Linked DNA regions of Caenorhabditis elegans. The protein of the gene in region 3 interacts with the protein of the main gene of each other region in a pairwise test. Each region holds a gene or a part of one and is shown on either strand. Other genes may lie near its edges. The genes, in order: unc-33, daf-14, fln-1 and rev-1.

The links.
Region 1: the proteins of fln-1 (region 3) and unc-33 interact in a two-hybrid assay, tested with the Caenorhabditis elegans proteins (one study listed by BioGRID).
Region 2: the proteins of fln-1 (region 3) and daf-14 interact in a two-hybrid assay, tested with the Caenorhabditis elegans proteins (one study listed by BioGRID).
Region 4: the proteins of fln-1 (region 3) and rev-1 interact in a two-hybrid assay, tested with the Caenorhabditis elegans proteins (2 studies listed by BioGRID).

The regions. Positions count from the first base shown.
Region 1 is NC_003282.8:3,515,175-3,521,751, forward strand, and holds the start of unc-33 (Protein unc-33), read left to right. Parts: upstream 1-1,711; coding exon 1,712-1,752; intron 1,753-1,803; coding exon 1,804-1,964; intron 1,965-2,018; coding exon 2,019-2,203; intron 2,204-2,265; coding exon 2,266-2,331; intron 2,332-2,900; coding exon 2,901-2,991; intron 2,992-3,100; coding exon 3,101-3,321; intron 3,322-4,281; coding exon 4,282-4,598; intron 4,599-6,577. UniProt on the Caenorhabditis elegans protein: During neurogenesis, plays an essential role in axonal guidance and outgrowth by regulating the polarization of both microtubule and actin cytoskeletons.
Region 2 is NC_003282.8:10,248,225-10,257,612, reverse strand, and holds daf-14 (Smad-related protein daf-14), read right to left. Parts: upstream 6,987-9,388; 5' UTR 6,968-6,986; coding exon 6,885-6,967; intron 3,997-6,884; coding exon 3,938-3,996; intron 3,525-3,937; coding exon 3,383-3,524; intron 3,336-3,382; coding exon 3,185-3,335; intron 3,119-3,184; coding exon 2,606-3,118; intron 2,066-2,605; coding exon 2,018-2,065; 3' UTR 1,761-2,017; downstream 1-1,760. Other genes in the region: F01G10.9 (aECM cysteine-cradle domain-containing protein), read left to right, coding at 1-162, 209-336, 795-1,315, 1,496-1,570; F01G10.10 (BPI2 domain-containing protein), read right to left, coding at 7,938-8,052, 8,099-8,250, 8,643-8,741, 8,794-8,895, 8,945-9,177, 9,222-9,388. UniProt on the Caenorhabditis elegans protein: Probably an atypical receptor-regulated SMAD (R-SMAD) that is an intracellular signal transducer and transcriptional modulator activated by TGF-beta-like daf-7 signaling.
Region 3 is NC_003282.8:371,905-378,939, forward strand, and holds the start of fln-1 (Calponin-homology (CH) domain-containing protein), read right to left. Parts: upstream 4,109-7,035; coding exon 4,073-4,108; intron 4,024-4,072; coding exon 3,910-4,023; intron 3,862-3,909; coding exon 3,690-3,861; intron 2,841-3,689; coding exon 2,667-2,840; intron 2,627-2,666; coding exon 2,058-2,626; intron 2,017-2,057; coding exon 1,740-2,016; intron 1,700-1,739; exon of another isoform or gene 1,617-1,699; intron 1,440-1,616; coding exon 904-1,439; intron 224-903; coding exon 1-223.
Region 4 is NC_003280.10:7,896,648-7,905,167, reverse strand, and holds rev-1 (DNA repair protein REV1), read right to left. Parts: upstream 4,547-8,520; 5' UTR 4,522-4,546; coding exon 4,405-4,521; intron 4,284-4,404; coding exon 3,873-4,283; intron 3,829-3,872; coding exon 3,679-3,828; intron 3,349-3,678; coding exon 3,225-3,348; intron 3,173-3,224; coding exon 3,001-3,172; intron 2,956-3,000; coding exon 2,517-2,955; intron 2,473-2,516; coding exon 1,971-2,472; intron 1,924-1,970; coding exon 1,733-1,923; intron 1,687-1,732; coding exon 1,290-1,686; intron 1,241-1,289; coding exon 989-1,240; intron 936-988; coding exon 607-935; 3' UTR 501-606; downstream 1-500. Other genes in the region: best-23 (Bestrophin homolog), read left to right, coding at 1-35, 142-250, 300-403; ptc-1 (Protein patched homolog 1), read right to left, coding at 5,460-5,672, 5,723-5,834, 5,882-6,925, 6,974-8,369, 8,416-8,520.

The DNA.
Region 1 (6,577 bases), 3.1 Mb from region 3:
CTAGAAAAAGCAATGAAAATCTCAGTTTTTTGCTGATTTTCTCAAAAAAAATCAACAAAGAACGGAGTATGAGTAATGGAGCATCGGTGGAAAAATCGAAGCCTCTAGAATTTTCTAGATTTTCGTGAAAAATCAGCTAAAAACTCAAATTTCGGGACAAATTCACCAAAAATAGCAGAAAATGGCGGAAGCACTACTACTGTACATAAGGATTTTCTAAATTTTTCATGAAAAATCCGCGAAATCCGGAATTTCGATGAATATTAGTGCAAAATCTCCGAGAAAAAAGCAATGAGAATCTCAATTTTTTGCTGATTTTTCTCAAAAAATCAGCAGAAAAAACGGAGACTGTCATCTTATGATTATTTCCTTTCTTGATGAATCATTGTTTGAAATACCGACACACCACCCGGTGTGTGTTGCGAAATAAACAAATTATTGTGTTCTTTTTCAATATAAACACAGCAATACCAGTTGACCGCGGGCGGTTTTAAACTAAAAAAATCCAATCGGAAAAAGATGCGGGAAATTCGAAAAATTCAGAGCTCCAAGCGATCCCCGATGGATGCTTGTAAATCGATAAATCGGGCGGAAACCTCTCCGGCGGACACATTGTAAGCGAGAGACGAGAGAGCGTCAGAGAAACCAATAGTGACCCCCCTCTGCGTCTCTGACATGGTATTCGTGGAGAGAGAATGAGTCAGAGAGAGAGCCGGAGACGGAGAGAAACACAGAGAACACTCCCCGGAGGCTTTCCGCCGCCGCTTTCGGGGCCATCTCACATCGATTTCGTGCCTTTTTGTGGGGATGGGACAACTTTTCTTTGTTTCTTGATGAGCTTTTTTGGATTGTTTAATTTTCTTCAGAGAGTTGCAAGAAATTTCATCTCTAAAAAATCAGATTTTTTCCTTTTTTCGGAAATTTCAGAATTTTATTTTTAGGTTTTTTATTTAAAGAAAAGTTAGGATTTTTCTTCAAAAATTTCTGAATTTTTTCTTTTTTTTGTCAATTTTCTCTAGAAAGCAGCCAGAAAATTGATCTCAATTTTGGAAATTCACTGGAAAAAATTCGTGAAAATTTTAGAAATTTCTACAGCTTTCTTATTTTTTAAATACAAACAATTTTCTCTGTTTTTTGATGTGAAATTTAGTTTTTTTTCAATTTTGGAGCATTTTTTGGGTTTTTGAAGATTTTTTTCTTTCGATTTGCAAAAAAATCGATTTTCTAAGAAAAAAAACATTAGAAAAACTAAAACATTATTTTTTGAAAATACAATATTTTTGTTGTATTTTTAGATTTTTTCCTGCAGGAATAAGATTTTTAGTCTCGTGAGAGAATTCACACTAAAAATTGCTAAATTTACATAAAATATGTGTAAAAAGCCATTTTTTCCGTAGAAAAATTTCAAAATTTATGAATTTTTCTTTAAAATTTGATTAAACCCCTGAAAAACCACTGGAAATTTTGTTTTTTCCCCTCGAAAGTTCCCCCAAAGTCACATTTTGCAAATTTCTAAAGAAGATTTACCACCGCAATTACCATAGTTAATCCGAAAATTGAAATTTTCCCGTCTTTTTTCCTCCAATCTTCATTTTTACCTCTTTTTAACCTAAAAATAATTGAAAAAACCCAATTTTTCGTTACAGAAAGCGCGCAAAATACACATTTATCACTAGAGGAGGGCCAAATAGTTGGCGGACATCACTGGAAAATGTTCCCGTTTTTAGCACCAATTCGATCAGCAAATCATGTGTAAGTTTTGCGTTTTCCGTGGTTTTTTTTTCCAATTAAATCCAATTTTAGAGAGCAACAAGGCACAAAGTACTACGTAGAAATCACATTTCTAGCAGATTCTCCATATTCTAGAGCTCCATCGAGCACTGGCACCGAGAAATCTGTAATTCCAACGCTCAGGAATCTGGATGACCTGGAGACTGTTTCTAATAAAAGTAGGAGTAGTGAAGGTTAGATTAGTCACGTTTTCCCGTAATTTTAAGCGAAGTTTTTGCCCAATTTAGGAGTGAATAAGCTAGGGAGCCGTCCGAACAGCCGAAGCTCGGCAATTGTTAAAAAGACGAGTGTGTCCTCACTGCCAACGTCGGCCCGATCCGAAGGAAAATCCTCTCCGATTCCGGTTAAAGATGCGATTCCGGCTCCAGCGCGGCACAAGAACAAGGGTCTCGAGATGTCGTCGGCAATGATGGTGGGTTTCCCGTTTAAAAAATCAAAATTCTAGCAAACTTGGTGAAAAATCGAATTTTCTAGGAGCTATTTGGTGGCGGAGGCAGCACGTCACCAGCGCCATCAAAACGAGAAAACCCAGCCGACGCGGTGAGTTTAAAAATTTTTCTAACTTCTAATGTCGCAGGATACGAAAAGTCGCAATGTTCAGGGCAAAACCACGTTGATTTACGAAAAATTTGATAAAAACTTGTGTTTACAGTAAAAAATTCTAGAATAAATCGAAAACATCCCGGAAAGAAAGAAGAAAAAATGAAAAAATAAAATAAAATAGAAAAATAAATTCAAACGTGTCCTACAGTAATCTTTGAAGGCGCATCACAATTTATATAGTCCAGGTTTCGCCACGAAAATTGTTTTTCTTTAGTTTTTAGGATTTTTGCCATTATTTCTAATGTTTTCTTGACTTTATATGTTAAAATAATTTTTATATTCCAATTTTCATTAATTTTTTATGTCAAATATACCAAAAACCAGGCAAAACTCTCTTAAACCTTCATTATCAACTACCGTAACTTTAAAGGTACACATCACTTTGCGAAACGTGGGTCTCGACGAGTTTTGTTTTTTTTTAGTTATTTTTTTGAAATTTAAAAGCCCAATTTTTGTAATTTCTAACCGATTTTCCTGCAATTTTCTTCAATTTTTTTGATTTTCAGCCATCCGATCGTGTTGTAAGCAATGCTAAACTCTCTCAGCCTGGCCCAGAATGGTTTGAAGGGTTCGAACAGATGGATATGACGGATATTGGTGAGAAAATCAGATTTTTCGAGAGAATTTGTGGTTTATAAGCCACAAATCTGTGTTTAAAACCATTAAAAATGTAGAAAATAAGTATTTATTGCAGAATTTTTTACAGAACTACCCCCCGACCCGAACTGCCCGGCGGAAAAGGTGTTGCGCGGAGAAAAATCGACGCCAGACTTCGATTCGGATTGGCAAGAAGCGAAAGAAGACGTTTTAGATCCTCAAAGCTACCCGAAAAGCTTCAACCCCGCCGAATCGCTTCCCGGTCCAGATATTGGCGCCGGCGTTGACGATGAGGAAGAGCCTGAGGCTGAAGCTCAAGAAATGGAAGAGGTTCGTGATTTATTCACGAGTTTTCCCATTTTTCTGTGTCCTTTCCATCAATTTTTGATATAGTTTAGCAAGTTTTTCGCGGCGTTTTGTTTGTTTGTGACGGAGGGAGAGAGAATTGTTTGAACAGATGTCACCTGGAGAACAATTAAAAAATTAATGTTCACTGTAATTGTTTGAAAAATCGCGAAATTTTGAGCAGAAAAAAATAGAAAAATGGTGAGAAATTCAGAAATTTCAGTGACAATTATAGGTTAAATGAATTTTCAGATTTTTTAAAAGAAAACCCCGATTTCAGGCAATTTGTTCCTAAAATAGAAATTAAAATCTAGTTTTTTTCCACATTATTGAGCAATTTTTGCTCCAACTGCCAATTATATTGCACTTTTGTTAATTTTCCAAGCGATTTTTAGTTAATTTTTTTCTCTAAAAAGCTCTAAATTTCCTAAAGCTGTCAATTTTTTTGCAAAAAGTGTAATTTTCCACTTTTCGTGGCAATTTTCAATAATTTGGCTCTAAAATAACGTTTTTAACACAAGAAAAGTCAAATTTTTCACAATTTTGAAAATTAGCTCTAGAAGTACAGTATTTTGCAGCAAAAAGCTCTTTTAATACAAATTATAAATTTCAGGCGATTTTAGCCTGAAAAATCTCCAAAAAAGCTCAAAATTTACTATAGAACTGGTAATTTTTATTGCAAAAAGCTTATTTTTACAACTTTAAGAGTGATTTTTTTCAACCAATTTCCCCAATTTTTTCAGCCAATTTTCTCTCTAAAAGCCCTAAAAATAGCAATTTTCAGGCAATTTTAGCTTGAAAATGGCAAAATTTAAACATAAAAGTGTTAATTTTCTATGTTTTTACCCAATTTTTACTCTAAAAAGCTTTAAATTCCTATAAAATTGTCAATTTTATTGCAAAAAGCTTCTCTTTTCTTCATCCTTTATCTCTTACTTTCTCCAGCCTCAATACGAATCGAAAGTGGACGAAAAAGACGACGACGACAATGGCTCTTCTTCCTCCAAAAAGGGTCATCCTTCCGAAGACGGAGATAGTACAAGAAATGGAGAGACGCCGACAGACCGACGAAATAGTGGGGCGATTGAAGAGACGGCAGACGGTGAGAGCTCTGCGCAGTCGGCTGCTGAGAAGAAGAATAGTGGAGACGACGGCAACGGAGGCGGCGGTGAAATGTCGATTTTGCTCGTCAAAAATGCTCAAATTGTCAATGACGATGCGATTTTTGTAGCTGATATTCTGATTGAAGATGGAATTATTCAGTAAGTCGGATTTTTGAGTTGAAAATTGAATTTTTCGGTCAAAAATTGACCTCTTTAATCGGAATTTTGAGCAATTTTAGTCCAGATATTGTGAATTTTCGTAAGATTTTTGTGATTTTCAGCTAAAATTTGTGAATTTTTATGAAGTTTTTTTGCATTTTTAGCCCAGAAACTGAATTTACCGCGAATTTTAAAATTTTCATTTACAAATTGTGAATTTTCATGAGATTTTTGTGATTTTAAGAAACAAAAAAGCGAATTTCAAGAATTTTGAGCTCAAAATTGAATTTTTCGGTAAAAAAAAGAGGTTTTAAGCGAATTTTCAGCGATTTGCAGCACAGAAATTGAGAATTTGTCTGAATTTGTAAATTTTTGAGTTAAAAATATAGTTTTTCCCTGGAAAATTGGTTTTTAATTTAATGTTGAGAATTTTTTAGTCTAGAAATTGTGAATTTTTCGTGAATTTTCAAGAAATTGATTGAAATTTCTGTCCCAAATACGTTTTTTTTTCTCGGAATTTAAAATTTTTATAGATTTTTACTTTTTTAAGCTAAAAAAAAACTTTTTCTTGTGAAAATTATATTAAAACCAGCCCAATATTTGGAGCTTTCAGGCCAAAAAAAAAAAAGAATTAAAATATTTTTTCTACAAAAATCCCATTTTTAACATTTTTTTCTATTTTGAGTTCAAAAATTTATTTGTTTCCCCCAATTTTCCAAAAAAATTGTCAATTTCTTAGTTTTCAGCCTCATTTTCGCTCAAATTTCGCAATTTTCCGATTCTCGAACCAATTTCGCAATTCTCCTACGCCTATTAAGCAAACGAATGCCAAGTTTTTTCCACGGAATTTCGCAATTCTCGTAGCCATTTTAATTGAATTCCTTCGCAAAAAATGGGGAAAAAGGGACTTTTCGTTGGAAAAAATCGGGAAAAAATGAGTGAAAGTGCCCGAGTTTGGGGGAAAATCCGGAAAAAAGTTGAAATTTTGTCGAAAATCTCTAAAATTCACAATTTTACCGCCGAAAATTAGTGTTTTCGCTGAAAATTTTGGGAAATTTGCCGAAAAAAGTGCTCATTTTCGAGAAAATCCATTTTTTGTTAAGGTGGCCTAGTTGTCTTGCGGCCACGGCCACTGATCCTCTTGTAAAGACGCCGAGCACCCGATTATTCGGGACTTTTAGCCTAAAGTTGGGTTATATGGCCTAGAAACGGGATTTTTCTAGACCACGGATCCAGAAGAGGCCTTTACGGCAAAAGGTCAACCCTATGACGTCATGTTGCACACATTTTCTCGATTTCTGCTCGATTTCACATCAAATTTGAGTGGACCCATGCGAAACGCGATACTTGTTTCCTCTTACGAGTTGTACGCCTCTGCGTCTCCTCTACTCGTCCGTTCTCTGATTCCTCGTCCGCCGGAGAGCCAAGTCTTAGCCTTTTTGAAGTGCACACACACACACACACACACGCCAACTGAAGGGCTCTCGGAGCCGATGTGTGTTCGTCTCCACACTTTCACTGCCCCTGGAGCACCACGTCAAATTAGAGAGCACTTCCGGGTGTCAATTTAATGGTGGAGGGAGGGGTCTTCTCAGTTGCTTCCGGAGCATTGGCCCTGGAAATGAGCAAATCTGGGTGTCAAATTAACGACAAAACCCTACTTTTTAACCTATAGCTGAGGTATATGTTGCTCCTGGAGCTCATAGAGCAGTTATCATGCAAAATTTGGTTTTTTCAAGTGTGAAAAATGAGCAGTTTTTAGTGTCAATTTCGTGACAATTTCCCTATTTTTCACGAGAACTGGGTTGCTCCGCTGCTCCTAGAGTAATATCTCTGAAAATAAGCAATTTTGGGTGTCAAATAATTAGAAAATCTTTGCTTTCCCACAAATCTCTGTGCTCTCAGCTGCTCTTGGAGCATCAACCTAAAAATGAGCGTTTATGGGTGTCAAAATTGCTCCAGCGCAGCTCTCGGAGCAT
Region 2 (9,388 bases), 9.9 Mb from region 3:
GGAAGACTCCTTGAAAGTACCGGTCGAGGTCATCGAATCACGCAAACCTCTATCTCCACCTTCATCTTCTGCAAATGTGTCAAAACAACGGTCCTATACAACGTCATCATCCTCTTCGTCAAACTCAGCAATTGAACGATACAACAATCAGCAGAATAAAATGTAGAAAAAAAAGAAACTATTTAAATTTTTTATTAAAATATTTCAGAGGAAATCAAGATAATGAAGAAGATTATCCAAATTCAATGTATCACAGAGGATCACGGAAGAGGCCATATGATATGTCTACTTATGATGATTATGACGATATTCCATTATACAGACCAATGAGAAGAGGTTAGTTTAACTTGAATTCAAATTAATACTAAATTCTTATCGGAAAGCAATAATATAAATTTAAATCGAAATATGATTACTTTTAATTAAATTTAAACTATTTTTCATTACAATATGGTCTGAAAGATTACTTAAAGATCAAATAATCAACGATTTATGAAGAAATCGAACCTTGATGATCGATGTATCCTTTTATCTGTGATCATTAAAATATTTATCTCCGCGAAAATGTTGCAAAGAAGGAATATAGTTCAACCAACAAACATTTTCTCAAAATAATAAAAGCATGAAGTAGTTACTGAAATTTTATATCATACGAAACATGTTTGGTCATACCCCGAAGTTCAGGAAAATTCCAGTGATTGCTAAGATTTTTTTTCCAAATTTGAAATTAGGTAAAGTAGTTTCAAAAAAAAAGTTGTATGTTTACACTTTTCCAAAGTTATCTTAATATTCAGAATACCGAATGCGTCGCAGACGTCCGATACTCTTTTCTGATGACTTCTCGGATGAAGCTGGTTTCGATCAACAAATCGGAAACTCTGATCGTCATCAAACAACACGAGATCTTTCTCCATTAAGATCAATGAAACGTCTTCGCCATCAAATTCCATATAATCAACCATACCGAGTACCTGGACCAATGACTCTTCCAGTCTCTTCGACAACTAATATGCTTCATCGTCCAGTTCCATTGCCCGGTGCCCCACAACCAATGAGAATCCCGCTTCCTCCGGGTGCTCCGATGCCAATGCCATTGGCTCCACCAGGAATGGCTTTACCACCTTCCCAACCAATACAACCTGTTCAACAACAAGTGGGTCATGATATTCTTAAGTTGAAGCCAATTCTACAATCGAATCCTCAAGAAATGCAGGAAGCTACCGCAGAGAGTTGTGCAAAAATAACAAAACTGGCCAAGAGTTTTAGTATCAAAGATGTCTCGAAATGGGCGAGAGGCAACTGTCCCTTCCTGCAGGTAAATTTTAAAATATAGAAATCAAGGCTGCCACTACAGGTAGGCATTTAGGAGTGACTACGTGCCTATCTGTTACGTATTTTTGGTGCTCTTTTGTGAATTCCTGTTGTTGGTGTTACAACAGAGACACATTTAATCAAATCACTTTTTCACAATCATGTTAATTTTCCTTATTTGCAGATGTATGCTCCAAACGCCAGCTGTGAACTCATATTCCATTTTATTGATTCTTGTAAAAGCAAGAAATTCTTCTAAACTATGACTTAATTTTTCTCAAAATGTTCTCTGTTTTCTTTGCTCTTTTAGTTTTGTGCTCATCCTACATTTAAAGACATTTCCAACCCATACGGGATCATCTCATTTTATTTATTTCCACAATTGACACTTTTGTCGTCAGATTTCTAATTTATTGTTTCAGGTTCCTCTCCTTTCCACCAAAAATGTATTATTAATATTATTTTAATAATTTATTCGCATTCATAATCATTTCATCAAATTATTTAATTACATTACAAAGTTCTCAAAACAGAAGATTCTAATAAATAATTGAATTAAAGATTTTAGAAAAGCATTCAAGAGACTGGGAATTTTTTAACCAAAAGAAATGAAAATTAAAAACTGGGACAGAAATGGAAATATTAATCAAACGGGTACGCATTCGAATGCTTAGAACCAATCATTGAAGTGAAAATATTGAAGCAATCATGATCGGGATCCTATTTCCGGCCGTTCGTTATTAATACGGAAAACCTGAAGATTATTAATGGAACTTTAATTACTTGAAACAATTTTGTGTGTTATTTCAAGTGTTTAAATTTAAATTCAAATTCAAATTCAAAATGGTCTCAACTATGCCATACACTTAACAGTTAATTCCATTACTAGATCATATGTTGAATTTTTTGTGTTTTTGTTTTAATGATTGAAATAGTCATATTTTGTTTAATTATTTTATAAATAGAACCGGATAAGACAAATGTGAATATAATTATTAATTATTTGTCTTTCATGAAGTTTTTTAATTTATCTATTTATTTCGGAAACAAATATAGCCTTGATTCACCGAAAGAATCCAGGTGGCTAAAAAATCGATTCTTTAATCTTCAATGGAGATACTTTAAGCCTATACAAAAATTGCTAGCCAGTAAAATTCAGTAGTCGGCTCAGTGGTGTACAACATTTTCAGAGATCTTGGGTATTTCAGCTGCAGTTGGACCGCACTATCGGAAATTGTGTTTTAATATTATATTTTTAATTTAGGAAAAATTACATTAAAGTTTAAAAACTCACTGTATCATACTCATCAGCTGGCTCATGCAAGATAATTTCAATCCAACACGGTAAATTCACAACTTTCAAACGGGAATACGTTTCTCCGAATCCTTTACAGAAAGAGACTCTGATGTTGGAGAAGATTCTCATTCGTTCATCAGCCACCTCTTTTTCAGTTAAAGGTCCGAGAGCCAATGTTTTCTCCTGTTCAAACTGCTCCTTATCGAATATTTTCATTCTTTTTTGATCTCCTTTGTTTTGCAACCGAAACACATATTTCAGTGGCTTATTCAATGTCTGGTTCAGGAATGGGCATTGTACAAAAACAATTTGGTCAGTCAGTACAGTTAGCCAAAGTTCTCCATTTTCATATGCCAATTGAATTCCTGCTCCAACTGTGTTTCGGATTTGTGAGCTTTTTGAATTTCTCGAAGATGGTTGAGATGTAAGCGACATTCGGCACTCATCACTTGCTCCAGTTGCACCATCGATTGTAATTGTTGGGACTTTGGCTTCGAATGCTTTTCCTAGCTGAAAATATATCATTGTTATGCTATCCGTTTTTTGAAATTCTTTCTCAAATAATTTTGAACTTACTCGAACAGTCAGCTCGTAGTAAAATATGGTACACCACGGTTTTTCTTCTTTTGGATATTTGGGTTCAGGATCCAACATCTCGTTTCCAGTAGGACGTACTTCAACTACTGCCTTTTCAGGAGTTTTTGGTTTCAAAGAAGATTGGCTTGAGCTAAAAAAAGAGGTATGTGAATGTGTATAACTTTCAAATAAACGTACATATTTGAAAATGGAAACGGATCATTATTTTCATCAGTTGATGTTGACGGAACATTATAGCAATCAGGCATTGGAGCATCTTCCAACCAGTCGTTTATTGGCATGTTTGGATTATTGATGCTTGCCGGTAAGTGAACTTGATCTGTAATTTTTGTATATCAGTTTGAACAATAAAATAAAAGCTCAATTCCAAATGTTAAATTAGTCAGAAACTTGTTTCCCAAGTGATTGTGATCACGGTGACTCATATGGATGATGAGGGACTTAAGCTGGATAATTTTCGTTTTAGAACTTTCTGATTCATATTAAATCATATGACAAACCGGAAATAAATCGTCTGAAAAACATCGAAATCATACGAAATATTTTTAAAGATATTTTTCATGTTTATAATTGTTTTCTAACAAAAAATTGAAGCATATTTATATTTTATGTGATTTGAGGCATTCTGAGATCAGGAACTGAAAACGTCTGTTTTATAAATATATTTTTTGCAGTTATAGCCACTTCTGTCTAGTTTTCCAATAACTTTGTCATGTCTACAATTTGACTCACCTGGGTACATATAATTCCCCGCAGCCGCCCAATTTGTGGGTGTTGTTGTAGTTTGAAAACTGAAAAGTCGAATATTTAAAACGAGTTAAGAAAAACACAAAACAACAAGGAAGTCGGTTGGCTTTGATATTAATACAAAATGAAATAATTATGAGATAATGAGATCCTATAAGGAAGGGATTATCTAAGGATTACGAATATGAGGGTTGTTGGTGAAATTAGCTGACGTGAAAATAGAGAAAAAGTCAATTGAGTGCATAATAATGCCAGAATACCTATAGATAAGAAATAATGACGTCGTATTAGAGGTTTTGAAATCGGTTCAGTTAAATTTTTTTGCTCTCTATCAGCATGCTATAGAAGGAAGATAGTTTTGGGATATTCATTTGATAAATAAATATAAAAATAAATGTACTGAAATCATTCGATTTTCTAAGTGAAAAACACAAAATCATTTAAAAAATATGTTCACTTTTTCTTCAGGTCTAGTTTCCTTATTGTCAGAGTCTAGCAACGTGTCGTCATAACAGGTGTATTAGAAGAAATTAAAAAGTCGACTAGACTTGTTATAGGGCAAGTCTCACGACCTTAGATTGTTATCTCTCATAAGAGTGTACGTGAAGTTGCCAGACAGGTGCTGTCTCGTTCTTGAAAAAAGTGTATTCAACTATATATCTAATGTTAGATAATGTATGATGCGGTAAATTAAATGTTGCTACTTAACTTTTTTTCATATTCGGGAACGAACTATGGTTCCTTTTTAAAAACTAGATCTGGCAGAATAGAACCAAATATAGAGTTTTTGAAGAAAATTGAAATAAATATATGTATATGAGTATTGGAAACAGATCAAGAACTTTCACCTTTGTTGACGTCAGTCATACTCTTTCTTTTTGGAATTGCGCTCGTTTCTGACATCAGTTTATAAAAGTCGACGGTTAAAAAAATAGTATTGGAACTAGAAGAGACGTGAGAAATATTTTGAGAACTAGATAGGAAAAACGAGAGAGGAGAGGAGCGAGAGTGAGCGTTAGGGTATGTATGTGTGTGTTTTCTGTCACAACAAATGTAAGTGAAAGGAGGAAAGAAATGGGAAAAAAGAGAGAAAAAGAGAGAGAAGAGAGAGAGAGAGAGAGAGAGAGAACGGAGAGAAATAGAGAACGAATATACTCAGAGCATCGGCAACACGTGAGCTTCTGCTCCTAACAGGAAGAAAAAAGTTGGAGTGAGCGCGTAATAGGGAACGATAGCACGTGATCGATAAATAGAAGGAAATGGAAAAAAAGACGAGGTTGAGAACGTCATCTGAATTGTATTTTCAATGACGACTACTTTGAATGAATAAGAGAAATGAACAAAAGAAGGTTAGGGAAAGATGACAAAAGGTTCGTTATTACCGTTCGGAAGAAGAATAGTTCGAGGAGGGGTAGTTACGAAATAAAATTCGAAATATTTTTAGTTACCCTCTGAAATTTTAATTTTTTCATCTTTCCAACAAATTAATGTTTTTCAACATTGGAAATTTCATTGAATAAAAATTAATAAATTTAAAAAAATCGATAAAAAAATCCATACCGAAAACCCCTAAAATAGTGTGACTCTAGAACACTGCAACGTGGCTCTGTCTACAAAGTGTGGTCCATCTGTTGCGCTGTGCTCAAATATTTGCCGATTGCAGGAAAAGAGACGAGAACAGTAACACGAAAAGGTCAGATAGATCAAGAAGATATTATTCGTTTATTGGGTTAAGAGATCAGATTCATAAAAGGCTCGTAGAGATAAACAAATTATCATAATTTTCGGCTTTAGATGTTTGTTTGATTGTGCCTGTTGGAGTCTAAACTTCGAATTATTTACAAAAAATTTTTTTTGAAAAATTTAAAAAGAGAACATTGTGGTTTTTTCCCTATTTTTCATCAAATTTTCCTGAATTTCTTGGAATATTTGGGGACTTCTTTCATAATTTTTTAAAAATTGCTAGGAATTGCAAATTGAGTAACAAACCACGATACTGAACTTTTGGGGAAACTTCAAAATGTAAATGAGGAAAAGACAGGGGCAAATACAATAATTGTGTTTTGATTCCGGTGAACTCAAGAAGAGCGGGTACGTTGCAAACTACGAGAAAGAGAGGTATTTATTGTTTCCGCCCCAGGACATCCGTTGTAAACTTTTTGGTTCAAAAGATCAAGACACAGAAATGCGTAGACAGGGCGGAGAGAGAAATATGCATCTTGTCTTATAAAAGTCGGAACGAGTCAGTCAGGTTAACAATATATTTCCATCTCACTGTCTACGGGGGAAGTGATAGTGTGCTGGACAAATATAAAACTTATTTGGTTTGAAACGTTTTGTTGAAGTTACTGATATAACTTAGTGGTGTTGCCTAATAATTGGAACATTCTAGGTTTTTTTTCAAGCCGAGAAAACAGTTCAATTACTTGTTTTTTGTAAAATTGAGTTTAAAGTTTCAATAGAGTAGAGCAGTCCAGAAAAGTCAGACAGATTTTTGAAATAAAAAGCTTGAATCATCAAAAATAGCTTCCAGTTTGTAAAACCCTGTCAACATTGGTATATATATTGGACTAAAAATAGTCAGTCACCTTTAATTTACTTTTGTTATAAGTTTACATAACTAAAATTGCATTGAAAAAAGTTTTGAGCGACTTTTATAATAGTTTGTTAACAGCCGGGAGTTAGGAAACTATTTGACACGGAAAAATTACAAATTATTTTTCATTAAAAAACAGAAGTAAACATAATTGAATGTGACTATTATCGGAAAAATCACGTGGTGTCAGGCTGTTCCATGTCCCATATGATCTACAATAAATGCGGGAATTGAGACGCAGAGACAACTGTTATTGCACGGTTAAGACATCTTGACACATCGTAAAAAGTACGATTATAAATGTTATCAGCATCACCCGTTTAAAAACTTACTTACCCAAACTCGGCAAAATCGTCCATGATTCCTAACTCTCCTTGGTTGTTAAAAAGTGATCCAAAATCTTCTTGTTCGTTGGACATTATAAATGTTTCTGCAAAAAAATGTGTGTTCGAAACAACAAATCTCCAAAATATAAACGGAAGGGTGCCGATTTATGGATTGTTTGAATAACAGGTAACAAATCAAACATCTACTACACAATTTTTGCACTTTGAATGAAAAAGTCAAAAACAATTGTGTGAAAAGCGAGACTTTAGATGATCAAGTCACATCCAAAAGTATATAGAAAGAGTAGAAAATGAGCAGAAAAACATAGAAACGCAATGACTCCATGGTGATGGTTTTATGTGAAGTGGCGTGACTAGGAAGGGTTCAATATGAGACAAATAAATACGAATTGACATTACTAAACGATGCACATCAGGTTGTTAAGCCAGTAATAGACCCAATTGTACCTTTAAAAACGACTAGAATTTTGATCATAACAAATTATTCGATAGTTGGACAACCCTCGATTGCAAATAATTTGGATCCAGTTTTGAAGATTCCCTGTAATTCAGCAAAATAATATTCTGTCAGATTGAGATTAATGGTGGAGCTTGGCCAGTAGAGAAATGATTAAAAACCACAGAAAAAGAAAAATGAGAAAAGTACATTGGTAATGTGAACGAAAGTTAAACGTTGAAAAGATAAGTTTATTTGACGATCAAGAAGATATTGAAATGAATGATCACGAATGAAATGATACCTGTTCGATTGAAAGTATTGTTTGAATTGTTGAATAGAATCTCTATGAAAGACTTGACACGTTCAATCGAAACTCTCATATTATACATTCGACAGAAAAAACAATTTTTGGTCCCTTGCAAATATTTAATTTTATTTGCAGTTTTGCAAATTACGGAGATGAAAACTGTCCTTATTTCTTCAAACAGTTTCGCAGATAATAACTTATTTATTATATATTCATCAGTATTCTTTTCTCGAAATGTACATATAAACCGGTAACTAAATATCGATATTTCTGTTTTTTGGTAACTTTGTCATTCATCACAATGGTCCACGTAACGTTTTTCCAACAGCTCCTCTGACAAGACTTCCTGCGTATTCCTCGTCAAGTTTGAAATATGTTGAAACTTTCAGATAACGATCGTGGAAAGTTAATCTGAAATTATAATAAATTCATATTATAGAGCTCGTTTCAAACTCACTTTGGACTCTTCAGAATTACACCTTGCATGGTTGGCAGAGCAATTCCCATTTGAAGAATTTCAGTGAGAAGCTTCTCTAAAAATTCAGCACCAAATAATCCCAAGTCGGAAAATGAATCTTGGTCGACATCGTTGATTTTTGTTTCAAGGAGCTGAAATATGACAATTTGATTAGCACCTCAAAACTGAAACATCCAGGCCGGCTTCCAAAAAAATAAATTGGTGACAATTTTCTTGGTGAAATATCATATAATCGCATTCAAGTCTTACCCAAGTTCAAATTTTTCCATCTTTAACCCAAAATGTTTTAAACTAGTGTGGAAGATTGGGATAGATTGGGCCTATTTACATTTTACGTAACCTCTTTATTTTACAATTTTGAGCTTTCTGGTGATTTTAAAGGCCTATTAATAATTTACGTTTCGATTAAATTACCATTTGTAAAAACACATAAAAACATATAATATTTGGCGTACGTCGTACGACTTGAAATTACATAGCTTCAGTAAGAATGATTCATAGATGATTGGATGAAACATCTCACCTTAAAATCCAAATTTTCAATCGTTGAGTTTCCAACAATAATTGATCCATTGATCCACAAGTTTACGTTTGCAGTCATTGTCGTGTCAGCTTTTAGGATCTTTACGAAAATAAAAGGAATTTCTGTTTCATAGAATCAAATAAATCAGTACCTGCTGTTTAACTTGATTTGGCTTCGAAGGTCTTACGTACATATTAAGACCTCCATGGAGTCTAAACCGAGACCTATCATCAATGAACACAATTAGTGGAGCCTGAAAATAAGTGTGTCAAATAATTAGGATCGTATATTAGGTAACCTACTTTCTTTGCGAAAAATTCAATTTCAACTTGTCTATCCGGGAATTGTTCTCCAAGTGTACCAAGGAACTCTCCAAGACAGAAACCAGCAGGACCACAACTTGTAAGCAAAAGTCCTTGAAGCTGTGGAGAACTTTCGGGTCCAACTGTGACGTCAAGGAACTTTTGACGATATGAATGATACAACATTGAATTAGCCAGATAATCACTTGCATAGAATTCAATCATATGAACTCCTGAAATAAATTACTTTTAGAACGGCAGTTGAAATAATTCATACCATGTGGAGGTGGAATTCTAACATTTGGTGGAAAGAAGGGAGTTCCACCTTGACCTCGATATGAGATTTCTCCCTTTGACATCATATTTACAGCACCATTTTGTACAAATGGAGCTGTCAACATTTGATAATCCAACACTAACTCCTTATCACGAAGCCGTTGTACG
Region 3 (7,035 bases):
ATCCTGGAGTAATCTCACGAGCTCCATAACTGATTGGATTGAGTTCTGGATCCAAAATCTCCACTTTCGGCACCAAATCAACTCCACAAAGACGAGTATCAACACGGAATGGAATCTTCTCACCAACGTTGTACACCTTCGATTCATCAATACCAGTGACTCGAGTTGCTGATGGTTTTAGGCCTTCGATTGGTTCAGTGACACGCAGAACAAACGGCGAATCCTGAAATTGAAAAACTTTCAATTTGTTAACTATCAGTCGATTGGAGAGCTATTACTAGTAGTGGGGTCATGGGCTTATTTATTCATATGATTTAGAAAAATGCAATCATTTTTTGCATTTTTCGGCATTTGTCCGCATTCTTTCTACATCGGCCGCCACCTCACTTCACATGCTAAAAACGAGACGCAGAGAAAACCTTTCCTGCGGGGACATATCTCTCTGCGTCTCTTGTTTTTAGCATTTGAAGTGGGGTGGCGGCCGATGTAGAGAAATGCGGACAAATGTCGAAATATGCAAAAATGATTGCATTATTCTACATTTTTCGACACTGATGAATAGGGGGAAAATGTATTAAAATACATGTTCGCATTTTTCACCATCACATGATTAAGCCGATTATTCAAGTAATTCTGCAAAATGTTTTTAAATACAATTATGACGTCACAAATGTATTTAAATACATGTTTTATATACTTTAATACAGTTCTGACGTAATTTTTCTACACTTTTCAATTTTCCGACATTACTTGAATAACCCCATTAAATACATAAAAACATGTATTTTGATACAGTTGTGACGTCATTTTTCTACACTTTTAATTTTCCAATACTACATGAATAACGCCATAACAAAACATGTTAAATTTAAAGCGTTTCATCTTATTTTAATATTTAGTTACCTGAATATGCTTTCCGTCGGCTAGCACCCCAACTTTGTAAACTCCAGCCACAGTTGGTGTATAGGATAGAATAGCACTACCATCTGGTCTCTCTTGACATCCGATTTCCGCTTTCGATGGTCCTTCAACAGCAAATGATAGATCTTTTGATTCTCCATTCATTTCCACATCAAACACGCATGGCTCATTTACAATTCCGCCTTCAAGTCCTGCTCCGAATGCTCTGATCTTCGAAGAGCTTTCCGGTGCCACATGGATCTTATGAGATTCGATGACTTCACCAGCAACCTTAACGAGTACTTCTAGATCATCAGGTGCTTGCTTTGGCGAATATTCGAAATCCATTGACTGAGATTCGTCATTGTAGCCAACTGAAACTGGTAGATGAGAACCATCCGACGGTTTCAACACTTCCAAAGAAATGTTTGCGTTGGCGATATTTTCTTCCGGATCCAACGATTCAACGTGGACACCAACGACATCATTTTTGCGAATTCCTTCTGGAGCAATTCCACGTCCCCACACTTTGAACGAATCTGAAAAACAATTTCATTACTTTTTTGAAATACAGAAACAGAGACATCATGGATTCAAGATTTAGTGGAATTCCGGATCTGTCACCGTGCCAACGCATAAAACGCAATTTTTCTCGAAGAAAAAACAGTTTTCTTCAAAAGTTCTCTTCAAGAAAATATGCTTAACAACACGCAACATGGAGCAGTTGTCACGTTTTTCTTTGAGAAAAATTGTGTTTTGTGCCAGATCCCTAATTCCACCAGATCTTGAATTCGTGGTGCATCCAGAAACTCGATTCTTATATTTATAAATATACGCACTCTTTGGTTTTCCACGCAGTGGGAATGGCGATCCGGTCAATGGGAGCTTCTTGTGGAAAACATTGACTGAATGTAGTCCAATACACGGAATTTTGTATTCGAATGAATGTTCTCCTGGTGATGTACCATCCAAGATAACCATTCGGTGCTCTTTTCCAGTTGGATCAACAACAATTGCTTCAACAGGACCTTCAATGGCGTCGACCACGGCGAATTTGACGTCATCTCCGACTTTGGCGGTTTTGTTATAATCGAGAAGGCGGGCGATTGGAACAACCTGAAGAACAAATTCAGATTATATATAAATTTTTTCTCTACCTGACAAATGACGCTAGCCTCAGGAATGGTCTGAGTCTCAAACGTGTGAACATCGTTCGCGGCTACATCCACGTGGATAAATCCAATCTTTGTAGGAGTGAACTTGACTTTGTAGGCGTTTTCTTTATCCTCAACCTTTTTAAGACTCAAATGAATATCCTGTCCATCTTCATCTCGGATCGAGACTTTCGGCTTAAATCCATCACGAGAAAGCTTCAAATCAAACTCTCTAGGATCATTGACTTGGAGAATTTTGTCCAAATTTGAAATAGTCGCTTGAACCTTTGGCTTCATTATTATTGGTTTTGTTGCAGGGAACTGTGAAAGATATGTCATTACAGACATTTCATCAATTTCCGGATGAATCATCTCAGCTGGAGCAATGAGTGGAGCAACTTTAAGCAAATCTTGAGCAGACTTCATGGCTTTCTCAGTGTTCTCCAGAGCATCATTTGGCGACCAATTTTCCCAGTCTTCAAGTGCTCCTGGAGCCATCGAATTGACAAGTGCACCGAGAGCAACTCCGTCGTTCCAGTCGGAAGTGAAGTTGGAAATCGGCATTCCTGAAACTTTAGGGTGATGAGTAAATGTTGCAATTCGAAATGGTACCTGGAAGACGATTACGAATCCAATTGAGGAGCTTTTGCTTCGGAGTCTCCTCCTTATTATCTCCATCTTCTCTTTTTTCTTGAATCCATCCCATCGAAATTGAATAATGGAGAATCAATGTCCAAACGAGTCCCAGAATCAATTTCTTGTTATGATCCACAATATGAGTACTGTCTGTAATTTAAAATAATGCAATTAAATAGAAAATGGGTTGTGGTGACCGAATATATAACTATTAAAATGTTTGAATGATTCTGTATTGAGCCAAAACATTGAGAAGTCAGGTTTTAATCAGACTTTGTCAAAAGTTCGAGACATTTTCGGTAAAGCTCGTGTGGTAAAGAATTAAAACGCAAAAAAATACAGTAACCCTTGTGATTTTTTTTTTTTGTCGTTCTCTCTCCTGATTCTGAAATCAAAATGAGAAAATTCACAAAACATTCCCTGATTTTTCAAACGACGAATTTTCGCACCAGAGACGCCATGTGTCGATTTACGACAATTTTGTATATTTACGAGATATTTTTAATCCTTATTGGATATAAAATCAGGGAAATTTTTTTGAATTTTTTCACATAGAAATTCAGAATCTGGGAAAAATTTGGAGTCAATTGAAAATATTTCTCAGATTTTCTTTAAGAGATAGTATCGAAATGAACATTAACTTGTAAATTAAAATTGAAATATTCAGTGTTTTGAATGTTTTTTAAAGTGGCCGTTTTTCCGAAATTCTTTCTCTAAAAACGACACTAATTGACACGTCGAAATATTGGCTTAAAGTCCCGAAAATGGGTATTTTTGTTGCGAAAAACGGTGGTCAACCTATGTTGTTCGTAATAATAGAGGAAAGGGGAACTCCGTGTGCTCGGGCGAGAGCTCCCATACACTGAAAACAAACAAAAACATGTTTGAACTACGGATTCGTCCTTTTGAACTGCTTCACCGCGCGGAGCAGTCTCGAAAAAGGAAAATATATCGTTTCTACGATACTATTTTTCAGGATTTCAGTGAAGGACTGCTTACCAATATTGATAATCTTAATATTCTCTTCATTCTGGAAGAAATTCAACGCAAGAGACACATTTTCGAGCTTCTGTGAACGAAATGCCACTTTCTTGTTGAATTTTCCAACATTCTTGTGGGAGAGAACTTGAGCCAATGCAATAAGCTTGAGACCATCCGAGAAATCAGTTTCCTGAAATTATAAATATAAAATCACTGAATAAAGTAATCCAAAACTCACCAGACTCTCAATAGTTTCTCCAGCCTTTTGCAAATGATTTTTGACCCATCTGGTGAATGTATTCTGTTGGATGATCTTCCATTCGGCGTCATCGTGACGGATCGCCGGAACGACCTGAAAATATTTATGTTAGAAAGTTGTATAGTCTTCTGAAAATAAATACCTCTTCTTCCTGGTCAAGGCGTTTTGGTTGCGCCATTTTAGACGTTGATTATTGCAAGTTTTCTAGCAGTCCTATATTATTCGCTTCTGCAAAAATCAAGGTATTGATAAAGAAGCGTGAGAATGAGAGAATAATACATGATTTAAATCGTACGGCCAAAAGGTAAAATCATTAGAAATGTCGATTCTTTTCTATCGACATTTCTAATGATTTTTAACACGTAATAAACTGCGAATACATGCATTAAAAGGTGATAATTGAATAAAAATTAAGTTCCAATGAAAACTTTTTTCTTTTAAATAAAATTTAAGTAACCTCTGCGAAAATTGCCAAAATTTGAGATTTTAGCTTAAAAATGGTAATTTTTCCACAACTTTGAACCGCCATAACTTTTTTGAGAAATTTTCAAAACGTCTCATTACGAAATTCGGTAGTTTTGGGTCATTTTTGGTCTAAAAAATATTGTTTCAGATTTCGGTACTCTGCCTTTAATTGATTATGGTACATTTTCAGTAAATAAGCACATAAATTGGTTTTTTTTGTCTAAACTGCACCTAACGACTTGAAATGTAAAATAATTAATGAAAACCCCACAATAAACATCTAAAATGCGCAAAATAGTGATAATTAACAAAAACCTGATTTCCGGCCGCTGTGGCACGTAAAGTTGGCAATAGTTGGAATTTTGAGATGGTATAAAAAATTTAGTTGCTCCATATTTACGATGAGAAATCAACGAGATAACAAACTAAACATCCTGGAAAACTAAAAACTGAAGTTTTTTTGTTTCAATCTTCAAGTTTAATAAAATCGAAAGCAGAGTTTTTGTTCAAACGAAAAGCTAAGAGAATTGAAGAAAACGCGTGCATGGTGATTCATATTTCATTTTTTTTGTGTAGGAAAAAGACACATAATACAAAGAGAACAAACGAATATAGACACGGATGGACGGCTTCTGGTACAAATGGAAGAATTGTTTTAGGGGGGGGGGGGGGTACTGTAGCCAATTGAAAAGACCAAAGACATGGGAAATTAATTTGAAAATCTTTTGGATAGAAATAGAAATACGGTAACGACAAAAAACGGCAACGTTGTACTTAAAAGAAAACTTGGTGAGAAATGCCCATTCTACCAGAATATAAAGTCTCGAGCTGGGGTGCACGGAAATTCTACAAAATGAGGTGGTGAACTTGTTTCCCTTTTTTTCATTGAAATTTGATGATACATAGAAAAACATTTGCTTTATAAATTGCGGAAAAATAACGTAAATTTTCAACTTTCGGACAATTTTTGAACACTTTCTCGGTTGTTTCAAATAAAGCAAATATTTTTCTATGTATAATTAAATTTCAATGAAAAATATCGGGAGAACATGCTCGACCGTCTCATTTTGTAGAATTGCCGGTCGGCAATGGCTGCGTACTCCTGTTTTCGAGTTTCGAAATTACAAAAAAAAACACACTTTAAAATGTTGACCAAAATCTAGTCAAAACTCGAGTCAATTGAAGAAGGAATTGCGGTATCCATATAAAGTCCAAAAAGAAGAGAAAGGGCACTGCGATGATCAATTCTCAAAATTTATCACCTTATTCCCTATTTCACACCCACTAAAAATGAACGACAAACGCAGACAGTGAAAGAGAACTTTCATTACCATTTTCATGTGCATCGTTCGTTTAGAACCGAAAATTTAACGATTCTCGATAGAAATATGAAAGGGTGTGCCGTTTGGAGGAACATTTGGCAAAAAAAAAAACAAAGTTTCTTTTTTGGGCGTTCTTCAAGAATATTTTCGTATTCTGAATCATCTTATTGCCACATTCGTCTATTGTTTCAATTTGACACTTTTGTAGACCGGATAGAAAGAACAAAACAGTGAAAATGTGACTCAAACAAAAAAGTTGCCAAATCCTGGAAAATGTACAAGTTTCGGAAGTTTCCACAACACATTCATAACATCTTCAAGGTCATCTAGGCGTCTTTGAATGAGAAGGTAAGATGACAGAGGGGGAGAGAACAAGGTGAAGATTTGTTGCGGGAGGAAATGGAGAAAAGGATCAACCTAGTGACCCGCGTTACCTAAATTTTCACCAAGGGCAAATCGGTAGACGTTCGGCAAGAATGTCAGGCAAAAATGTGTGGTGTGCAAAAATTACCAGTTTGCCGGAAAAAAGTAAAATTTTGGAATTTTAATGATTTCTTTCAAAAATTTAACAGTAATCCTGTTTTTAAACGCGCTGGAGTTTGCATTTTTAAATTTTGAACAAAATTGCAAAACCAAAATCTCCTTTTTTGGAAATTGCCGAAAACATATACTTTGCCGCCCACGATGTTGAGAATGCGTTAAAATGCAATTCTTTTGGATTAGAATTTACGAGAGTAGACGACGCGGCAAGATATGCAAATGTGATTGCTTTTGGTGTTTGTGGGGGTGTTCTTCGGTACATTTGGTATCATGAACTGCATTGACTCATTTATTTTCTCACATATAGATGTTTATTTTGATGCCACATGCCACAAACACACTCACGACATTTCTTCGGAAAATACCAAAAAAATTTGGTGTTGAGAACGGGAGGAAAGCGTGGGTTATTTATATGCAACTTTTCGACCGATGACTGTTCACCTCTGATAAGAAACTCGTCAAACTCTTAGAGTGGCAGCTGAAACAGACGTCAGTGGCCGAACTTCAATCAATAATGAAAATAACTATGGAAAGAGATCGCCAGCAGGTAGATATACTCCAAAAATATTAATATGCCGTGTATAATATTCGAATTAAGGAAGAACTTTCGGAGATGAAGATTAATAATTATTGAGAGAATAATAATAATGATGACCCGGAAACTAGGCGAGGATAAAATCTCAAACATCAGAAATTCCTTGCATGGAAGGAAAACTGAAACAAGCGGAAAAATCTATCAGATTTTTCCCTCGTGCATGAGCCCATCTTCTTTACGGAG
Region 4 (8,520 bases), on a different chromosome or scaffold from region 3:
CTGTTTATGTTGAAAGTTTGGATGATGAAATTCGTGTAAGTCTGAAAATCTAAAATTTTGGAACAATCTAAAAATATGATCTACCAAAACCATGGAGTTTTAAATTTGTAGTTTTCAATCTATAGCATAACTTTATTACAGTTACTTCATACAAGTGCATCGTCAAAACTATCAAATCATCCACAACGACAGCATCTTCGGAAATTAAAATTCAATGTAGACGCAATGCAAGTGCAAGCAGTTCCGGGAAGTGGGAATTTCATAAAAAAATATGAAAGTTACTATTTTTTAAATTTCAGATCATCTAAACGAACGAGACGTTTCCGTTTCAACAACTTCAAAACTTTCATTCGCTGATCTGGAAAATTTGGCAAATGGTCCTAGAAATATTCCAAAGTTTTGAGAATGGATTTCAAACTGATTACAAGCTCTTTCCTGTATTGATCTCGACGTCTTCTTACTGGTTTAATATTCACGTCTTCACTCATTCATTCCTTCTCTTTTTGAATTATAAAAGTTTATTCAATGGTCTTAAATATGTTATTTATTCATTTTAATTTAATTATTTTACAGAAAAAGAAAAACAATATTTTACAAGATTTAAATTCAGGTATGTTTAGTGGAATCAATTACAAATACTTCTTTTGGAACAAATGGCTCTGGTGAACTAATTGATGTGTTATCAGTGTTGCTGGCAATCATAGCTCCCAAATTTCGAGTGGTAGCTATGGGAAATTCAAGCAGATCTTTTGATTCTTCTTCGATGAATGGTACCATCAAATGGAATACTGAAAACCAAGCAGTGTCGCATCTACTAGAATCCATCGAAATCTCTTCAAACTTTCTGAATACAGTCTCGAATGCGGAAAGTTTTCCATAGTTTAGCAACGTTGAAAGCATTTCCTGTAAGTTCGTAACACTCTCCTTGGTTGGCTCTGAAAAAATTGATAAAGTTATTCCATGAAACATCAGATTTTGGGTATCTCACCATTTTGAATAATACATTCCAATTCGGCCAGACGATTTTCAACTAATCCATCATCTTCCAAATCTTCCAATTCGAGGTTGTTGTCAGATCGTCCATTGAGAAGTGTGGATTTTACAATTTCAGGAATATCTATGTCATTTGCCACTCTAAAATTAATTTGACGAGGTATGCTTTGCACTTCCAGATCTTCAGTCACAGCTGGAATTATCACAGGTTCTTTATCTAGTTCATCTTCGTTTCGCGGAATAATATCTGAAAATACAGAATGTTTTCAATAAAATTTCACTACTTAAATACTAACTCAATTGTTCGTCAGTTCTCGCCATATTCCCAACTCTAGAGGTCTTCCCAAACATCTCTTGCACTGCCGTTGCCGCATCTTTTTTCAATTTACTTTTCAACTTTCCACAGGTAACTCCAACTCCACGAAGATCTTCTACTTTCGGAGAAACTTTAGCATATAATTTCATAGCTTCTGATGTGAGAGACTCTCCGCGTGTAGTTGGAACGTTTAGATTACACGTTTTGGTAAATGTATCACAAATTCCATGTCCCATGAATTTGGATGTTTGTATAGGAGCATTTGCTGAACGTACCATAAGCTTCAAAGTTATGGATCCTGCGGTTAATTTACTATCGATAAGTTTCCGTTCTAACTCAGCTCCAATAGCTGTCATGAGTTGAATAACTTCACCTCTCTGAAATATTCCATCGTTATACGGACATTTTAATATAATACATTACCTTCGTGAAACGAATACCATAATTGATATCACATGATACTGATTTTCGAACATGAGTAGCCCAAAAATCATCTGGATCTTCTTCAATACCACGACATTGTCGTAATATTTTTGAAGCCAACTTTGGTCCGAATACAGGTACAAGTTCCCGTTCAGTTTTTAATTGTAGTTCACGGCATTTTGTAATATCACCTGTAAAACTGAGAAGTTGATATTTTTATATTAGATACTGGAATTACCAAAGAATGAAGTTAATCTATTCATCATTTCGTATCCAAATCCTGGTAGATCTTTAACTTTTTCCTCGGAAATGAATTCATTTTTCTTATGTGCATTAACCCAAAAAACTCCATCTGGTTTAGCATGTCTTGTTGCAAGTCTTGCTAACAAGCTCGTAGATCCTATTCCAACACTGGCTGGGCATTGAGTCTTCTCTCGTATCACTTTACGGATGTGTTCAGCGAGAATTGTTGGGTCGTTGATTTCGTATTTTTCACAAAAACTGCTCATGTTTATATACATTTCATCGCAGGAGACTGCACGAACCTCCAATGTGTAGCTAGCCAGAATTTCATAAATTTTCCGACTAACTTGCACATAATCCTCAAATTGATATGGTAATAGAGTTAATTGTGGACACTTTTGTAGAGCATCTCTCACGAGCATACCATTTTTGACTCCACAATCACGAGCTGCATAACTGCAAGAAGCCACCTCGCTCATGCTATTCGAAATAGTTCCCTGAAAGATTTATAGTTTGACACGAAGCTTTTAAATTGATTTACCTTGCTATGAGTGATGGCAACTTCTTTGTGTTTCAAATCAATTCGATTTCTGACAGCAACTGAGACGAAGAAACAGTCTAGATCCACGTGGAATACTGTACTTTCCCGAGAAATTTCATTGCTAAGAGACTTCATATCGATGAGTTCTTTCTCTTCAAAACACTTTTCCGTTAGCTTTCCTTCCAGTTTCAAATTTGCCACAAAATCTTTCATATCCTGCGCGAGAGTAGAAATCAAATGAAGACGACTTCTGGCATAGTAATCTCGAATAAAGTTTGGATTCCGGGCATCAGAGAACTGATTCGATGAAGTTGTTTCATTGTTACCACCGGTGTTTCTAGTTGATATTGTTAGAAACTGTTGCATTTGTCCCTTTTCCACCGAACCTTTCTCGTATATCAAAAAATCTCGATAATCGAGTGGTTTTCCAGCAGCTATTCTGAAATACTGGTTTAATCGGAAGAATCGGGTTGATTATATTTACGATTCCGTAATCCAATCAGCTTTAATGAAAATTTCATTTTCTCGAATTCGATTTATTTTTGCTGTAGCAATTGAGGAAGCTATCGTGTATGAAGTAATTCCATGTTGATAATAACAGTGATATTCACCTCCGTGAGAAATCATCAAATCTCTGATAACAAGTGCTGGTGGATCTGAAATAAGTAACTGTAAAATCAGTCGTTAAGTTATGGAATATGAAATTACCTGTATAACCATTCACAAATACCGAGAATCCTTCCATTATTCTAGACACATTCTCTAGTGGTTTCGCATATCCATGATTCACCTGATGGTTAAGTTTAGTGATCTTCATCCGCATATAGTCATTCTGAAAAAAATGATTATTTCCTGTGGGTTATTATCAGTTAAGTGCTAAACTGTCCAAATGTCATAGTAAAACTTTTCAAAAAAGTTGTTTCTTTACAGTCAAGCGTGTTTTGAAAACTGAGAGGCCATACTGGAAGTCGGACAGAAAATTGTCTTTACGAGTTTATAATTTAATTTGGGTTTCGATAGTTTTTATTTAAATATTCTAGGATTTCGAATATACAGCGATGCTCGAAAAAAGTCCACATTTGGAATGAAACTTTTAATTTTACGTGAAAACGAAAAACTTTATTTATAGTAAATGATTTGGTGTTTTGGGCAAAAAACTCACAAAATTATTTATTTCGAAATTTTGTCCATGTATGGTGATGGTTTTCTGTTGATTCCAGTACTCGCCACTATCTGATGAAACAACACCAACTGGGCCATGTGCAGCGGATGTTGAAGGTTCACAATCATATGATTTTGGTTCTAGACGACGCTGTAATCTAGAATATTAACGATTGTTTTAATATTTCTACATACCTTTCTTGGTATAAGTTTGATATTATTTTGAATAGGAACTTCAACCGGTAGCATTGTTCCTTGCTTATCCATGCTATTTCCACCTTCTCTATCCGGATATTCAGCAGCTTCATGTTCTGAGTCAACTTCTTCAATTAAATCACCAAATATGTCTATACTGATATTTGCTGCCTGTTCAATGTCTACTTCTTTTCTTTTCTGATCTTCCGTTCTGAACGATTTTAAAAGATCAGCAAGTGCATCATTATCAGAATTATTTTCAGTTTCATCCTCTTCGTCACTGGATTCTAGCATTCGAGTTATTGTATCATCAGGATTTGCGCGTTTATTTTCATCTTCTAGTACAGTAGTATTCGGACAATTTTCGATCACTGTTACTTGGGAATATCCTGTTATTCCGTCGAATGAACCCTTAAAGAAAGCAGAAGTATTTTGAAAATAGCTATTTAATATTTTTGAAAACTAAATTTAACGATTTCATTGAAATTATTCGACATTCCATCGAACTTTTCGATATATTTGCAGCTAATACCTCATCTGAAACAATTATAGCATCACTTCGTCGTCGATTCACATTAGGAGTCGGAACAAACTTTTCAAAAGAATCATCTGAATCTGGATGATCGGTGAATGGGTCAGGAGAATGCATCATTCATTGTATTGATTTCTGGAATCAATATTTGTTTTCTGATTAATTGCGTCTTTAACCGTAATTCTGTCGACAAGTATAATTTCTCACAGTTCATACTAAAATTTTCTGAAAATAAGAATCGATAAAATGTATGTTTCATGTTAGAAAAAGTTTATTCATCCGAAAAAATTCGAAACAAAAAAATTGGAGATGAGGCGAAGGGACAATAGAAATCGAGAGGGGCAGAGAAAAATCTTGGCTGGTGCTAATAAAATAATTAAATTCCCAAAGCTCGCTGAGATCATTCACAGAGGGGAACAAAACAAACGGCGAAAAAGACCAAGTGGGTGCAATTGAAAGCAATACAAAAAGGTGAACAATACAGATATGTCAATTGTACTTTTTTCTCTAAATTGTACCGTTCCCCTTTTATCACTCGGAGTAAATATTATGCGCATGTTTTTTTCGATTGAGAAGTGGCAATAAATACCCAAAGAAAAAAGAAAACGAGGGTGCCAAAATATTCATCGATATGGATGCAAGAAAATAAAGAAAAATAATACTATAACAGATTAAAGCATTTGTCGTTTGGAAACCGCGCAAAATCTATTCTTTCAGTTTTGAATTTGTTAATTGGGTGCTAGAAATGGTGAAGTGTGTGAAAGTGTCAATTTTATAGTGATCATGTTAATTGCCTATATCTTGGAAATCTCAGTGAAAAAATCAACATAATAACTATAAAAGTGTTATACAGGGCATGGGAAGATCACCAGAAAGTGTGTAGTCGACCGTTAGAAAGAGAGAAAAGACAAAAATAATTTAAAAGAAAATATGACAACGAAACATTGGGAAAAAGGATAAGTTCACAATGCTCTGCATTCATCAGAAAGAAATTTACCCATTTTTACATTTTTGTAAGTTTTTAAGCTCCAAAAACTTGGAGCGAACTACTACTGCTATACAGCTGGCAATCGGCGTGTGTTATTTCCAACTGTTCCTCGATTTCCTCCTGATGTCCTCGTCGTTGGGGGTGCTTGTCTTGAGTACATCACAAGACCACTCGGCTCGTCATCTTCATCAGAATCATCGCCGCCAGATCGAGACGAGTTGGCATTCTTTGGCAAAGGAGGTGGCAGGGTCAATGTTGTCTTTCCACCAGTAGGAGAGATCTAAAAAAAATAAGATGTATACAAGAAAAATAACAAAATTTAGATTTTACCTCTCTCCTTGGGCCAAACCAAGATAATAAAACTGGAAGAAGAATGAGTCCGTTTATGATTCCAATGCAAATCAGAGCCGTCATGACAATAAAGAAATACTTGACAACAAATCTGAAAATAAAACATTCTGATGACATCCATACTTCTGTAAAACTCACTCAAACTCTGAGAATCCAAGCATCAAAATACCGAGAAGTGTGGAGAATGATCCATGAATGACTGGGACAAAAACTCGATCAACTGCAGATGACGTCCGTTGAGATCTTGTTCCGAGCGCCGTCAGGAATGATACAACCACATGAACAGTGAATTCGACTCCAATTCCAACTGCGGTGATCAAAGTTACGGCTGAAACCGGATTGAGCTTGATTCCAACGAGTCCCATGAATCCGGCAAGTTCGCAAGTCATGATTCCGAGAATACAAACAACCATAAGTGCAGCCCATGGATTGAAAAGAAGAACGGAAATGACGCAGAAGACAGAGATGGTAATGATCGAAATGGCTTGCATAAGATTTCCAGTCAAGAAAAGATATTGTTCCCAGAATGTGAATGCGATTCCTTGTGGGAAATTTGGAAGTCCTTGATCGGTAAATCGTTCACAAACACTTCTGATGTCCTTTATGGCATCGACAATCACAGCGGTATCCGTGAGGCCAGTTAAGTAGAATGGAATCTGCGAATATGCAAGTGGCTCAGCAGCTGGGATGAAGTTTTCGGTATGATTCTTGCTCAATTCCCATTTTGGTGGTGTTGGGAAGAAAGAAGCTTGAGATACATAGTACATCATGTGATCGACATTGAACCATGCTGTTAAATAGTTGTAGAATCCATCAGAGTTGATAATTCCACTTGCATCAACTAGTCGAATCTTTCCTACTCTTCCAGCACACCCAAATAGAGAACCATGAGAGCACATAAGAGCATGAGCAAGACGAGCATCCTCGGAAACATTGCTGCCAATAACTGTTCCAGATGTAAGATTGAATGATCCTTTAGCAACTTCTTCATCGAATCCGCGTTGAATACTAATGAGCCAGTCTCGCATTAATCCCAGCCAATACTTTTCTGATGGCTCTTCGTTTTTATTTTTAATCACATATTTTGAAGATCCAATCGACTGTCGGTAATTGTCAATCTGGCGTTGCTGGTGAGCATAATCAATGTTAGGACCCTTGATGACAGCGAACATTGGGTAGAAACTGAAAAAAGAAAAAAATATTTTTTTGAATCATAAACGAACTTCTTACCTGAAGTACTTGTCTCTGGCTCTCAAGAACTGTGCAGGTGCAGTATGTTCTGGAAGAACATCTCCCAATTCAAGACCGAGTGTCGACTGACGCATTCCAATAAATGATGCACCGAGCAAAGCACAGCAGCCAACGATGATTGCTACTTTAGATGCTGGTTTAGAAATGAATGGAATGTAGTAGTAACGGATGAATGAATGAAGAGACCATGGAGCTGGATCATCGCTAGATGCCATCTGCGCTTGAGTGATTCCGTCGAACTGTTGCATAATCGAAGCTTCCGAAGGTGCTCCAATAATTCGTTTACTTTGAATCTTTGGCTTAGAAATCATCGAGTACGATTCTTCTCTAGTGTCACCATACAAGCAGCAAACCAAATCACGACGCTGAGCCTTCTTTCGTCGAAGATCAATGGAAATGATCGCTGGATAGATTGTAAGGATAGCTATGAAATTGAATGTGAGAAGAATACTGGACTGAGCACAGAATGATCGCAGAGCTGGAATTGGTAGAAGAGTTCCAGTGAGGAAGGAAAGAATGTTGTTGATCGAAGTGCACAGAATTGACATTCCAGTTTCACGCATCAGGATAGCCATCTCAGCGTGTCCGCCAGCAAGTTTAACAACGTCACGATAGTTGTGCAATAACATGAACATATTATCAACACCGATTCCAAGAGTGAGGAATGGTACAATTTGTGTTGTAGCAGCGTTGAATTCTATTCCAAACCAAGTGGCGAGACCAAGACCTGCCACTGAAGCGAATGTGACGACGAGAACTCCTGCAAGAGCGAGGCCCATTGATGATTCTGTAGCTGGAAGGCAGTTGTCAAATCGAGCTTGAGTGACAATAGCATATGCCAGCATGAGAGCATATCCAGCAAGGATGATGGTATAGTTGAATTGACAGAATTCCTCGAGCATATCAGCAATGGATGTCGATGCAAGTGGATGCAATGTTCTTCTTTCGTTTCCATCCTCATCAACGTTAGCCTTATGATTGTAAAGTGACTTGGTGAAATTTCTCTGCCATGCTTGAAGAACTTGTTCAGCAGCGGTTTCGTTCCATGCATCCATGTCTAATCCAGTCTTCATAGAGTTTCTTCCAGGCTTCTGCTTGAATCTCAGGAAAACATCGGCGGGGCTTGCAACAAGAAAAACGGATTGAAGAGCATCAGCTCCTGATAGTTTTCCTCCCTTCTTGGCACGTCTTGGATTTCCAAGTATCATATCTTCAGGCCAATTGAGAACGTTAGATGCGAAACCAGAGCATCCACCAGTCATCTCTGCTGCGTAATCAACATTCTGTGGGTACATGTTTTCAGACATCACTTCTGGCCATTTGTCTTTGTTCTTTTTTAACCATTCGAAAGCAGACTTCCGGTATGATTTACAATCTGAAACGTGATTTTATATTTGACTAGAAAAAACGAATTTACTTACAGTCTTTCAACTCTCTGGCTTTTTGCTTCTTCTCTTTTTCTTCTGCGGCTCTGGCTTCCTCCGGCGACAAAGTAGTCGTAGTTGGAATCGGAGCAGTTGATACTG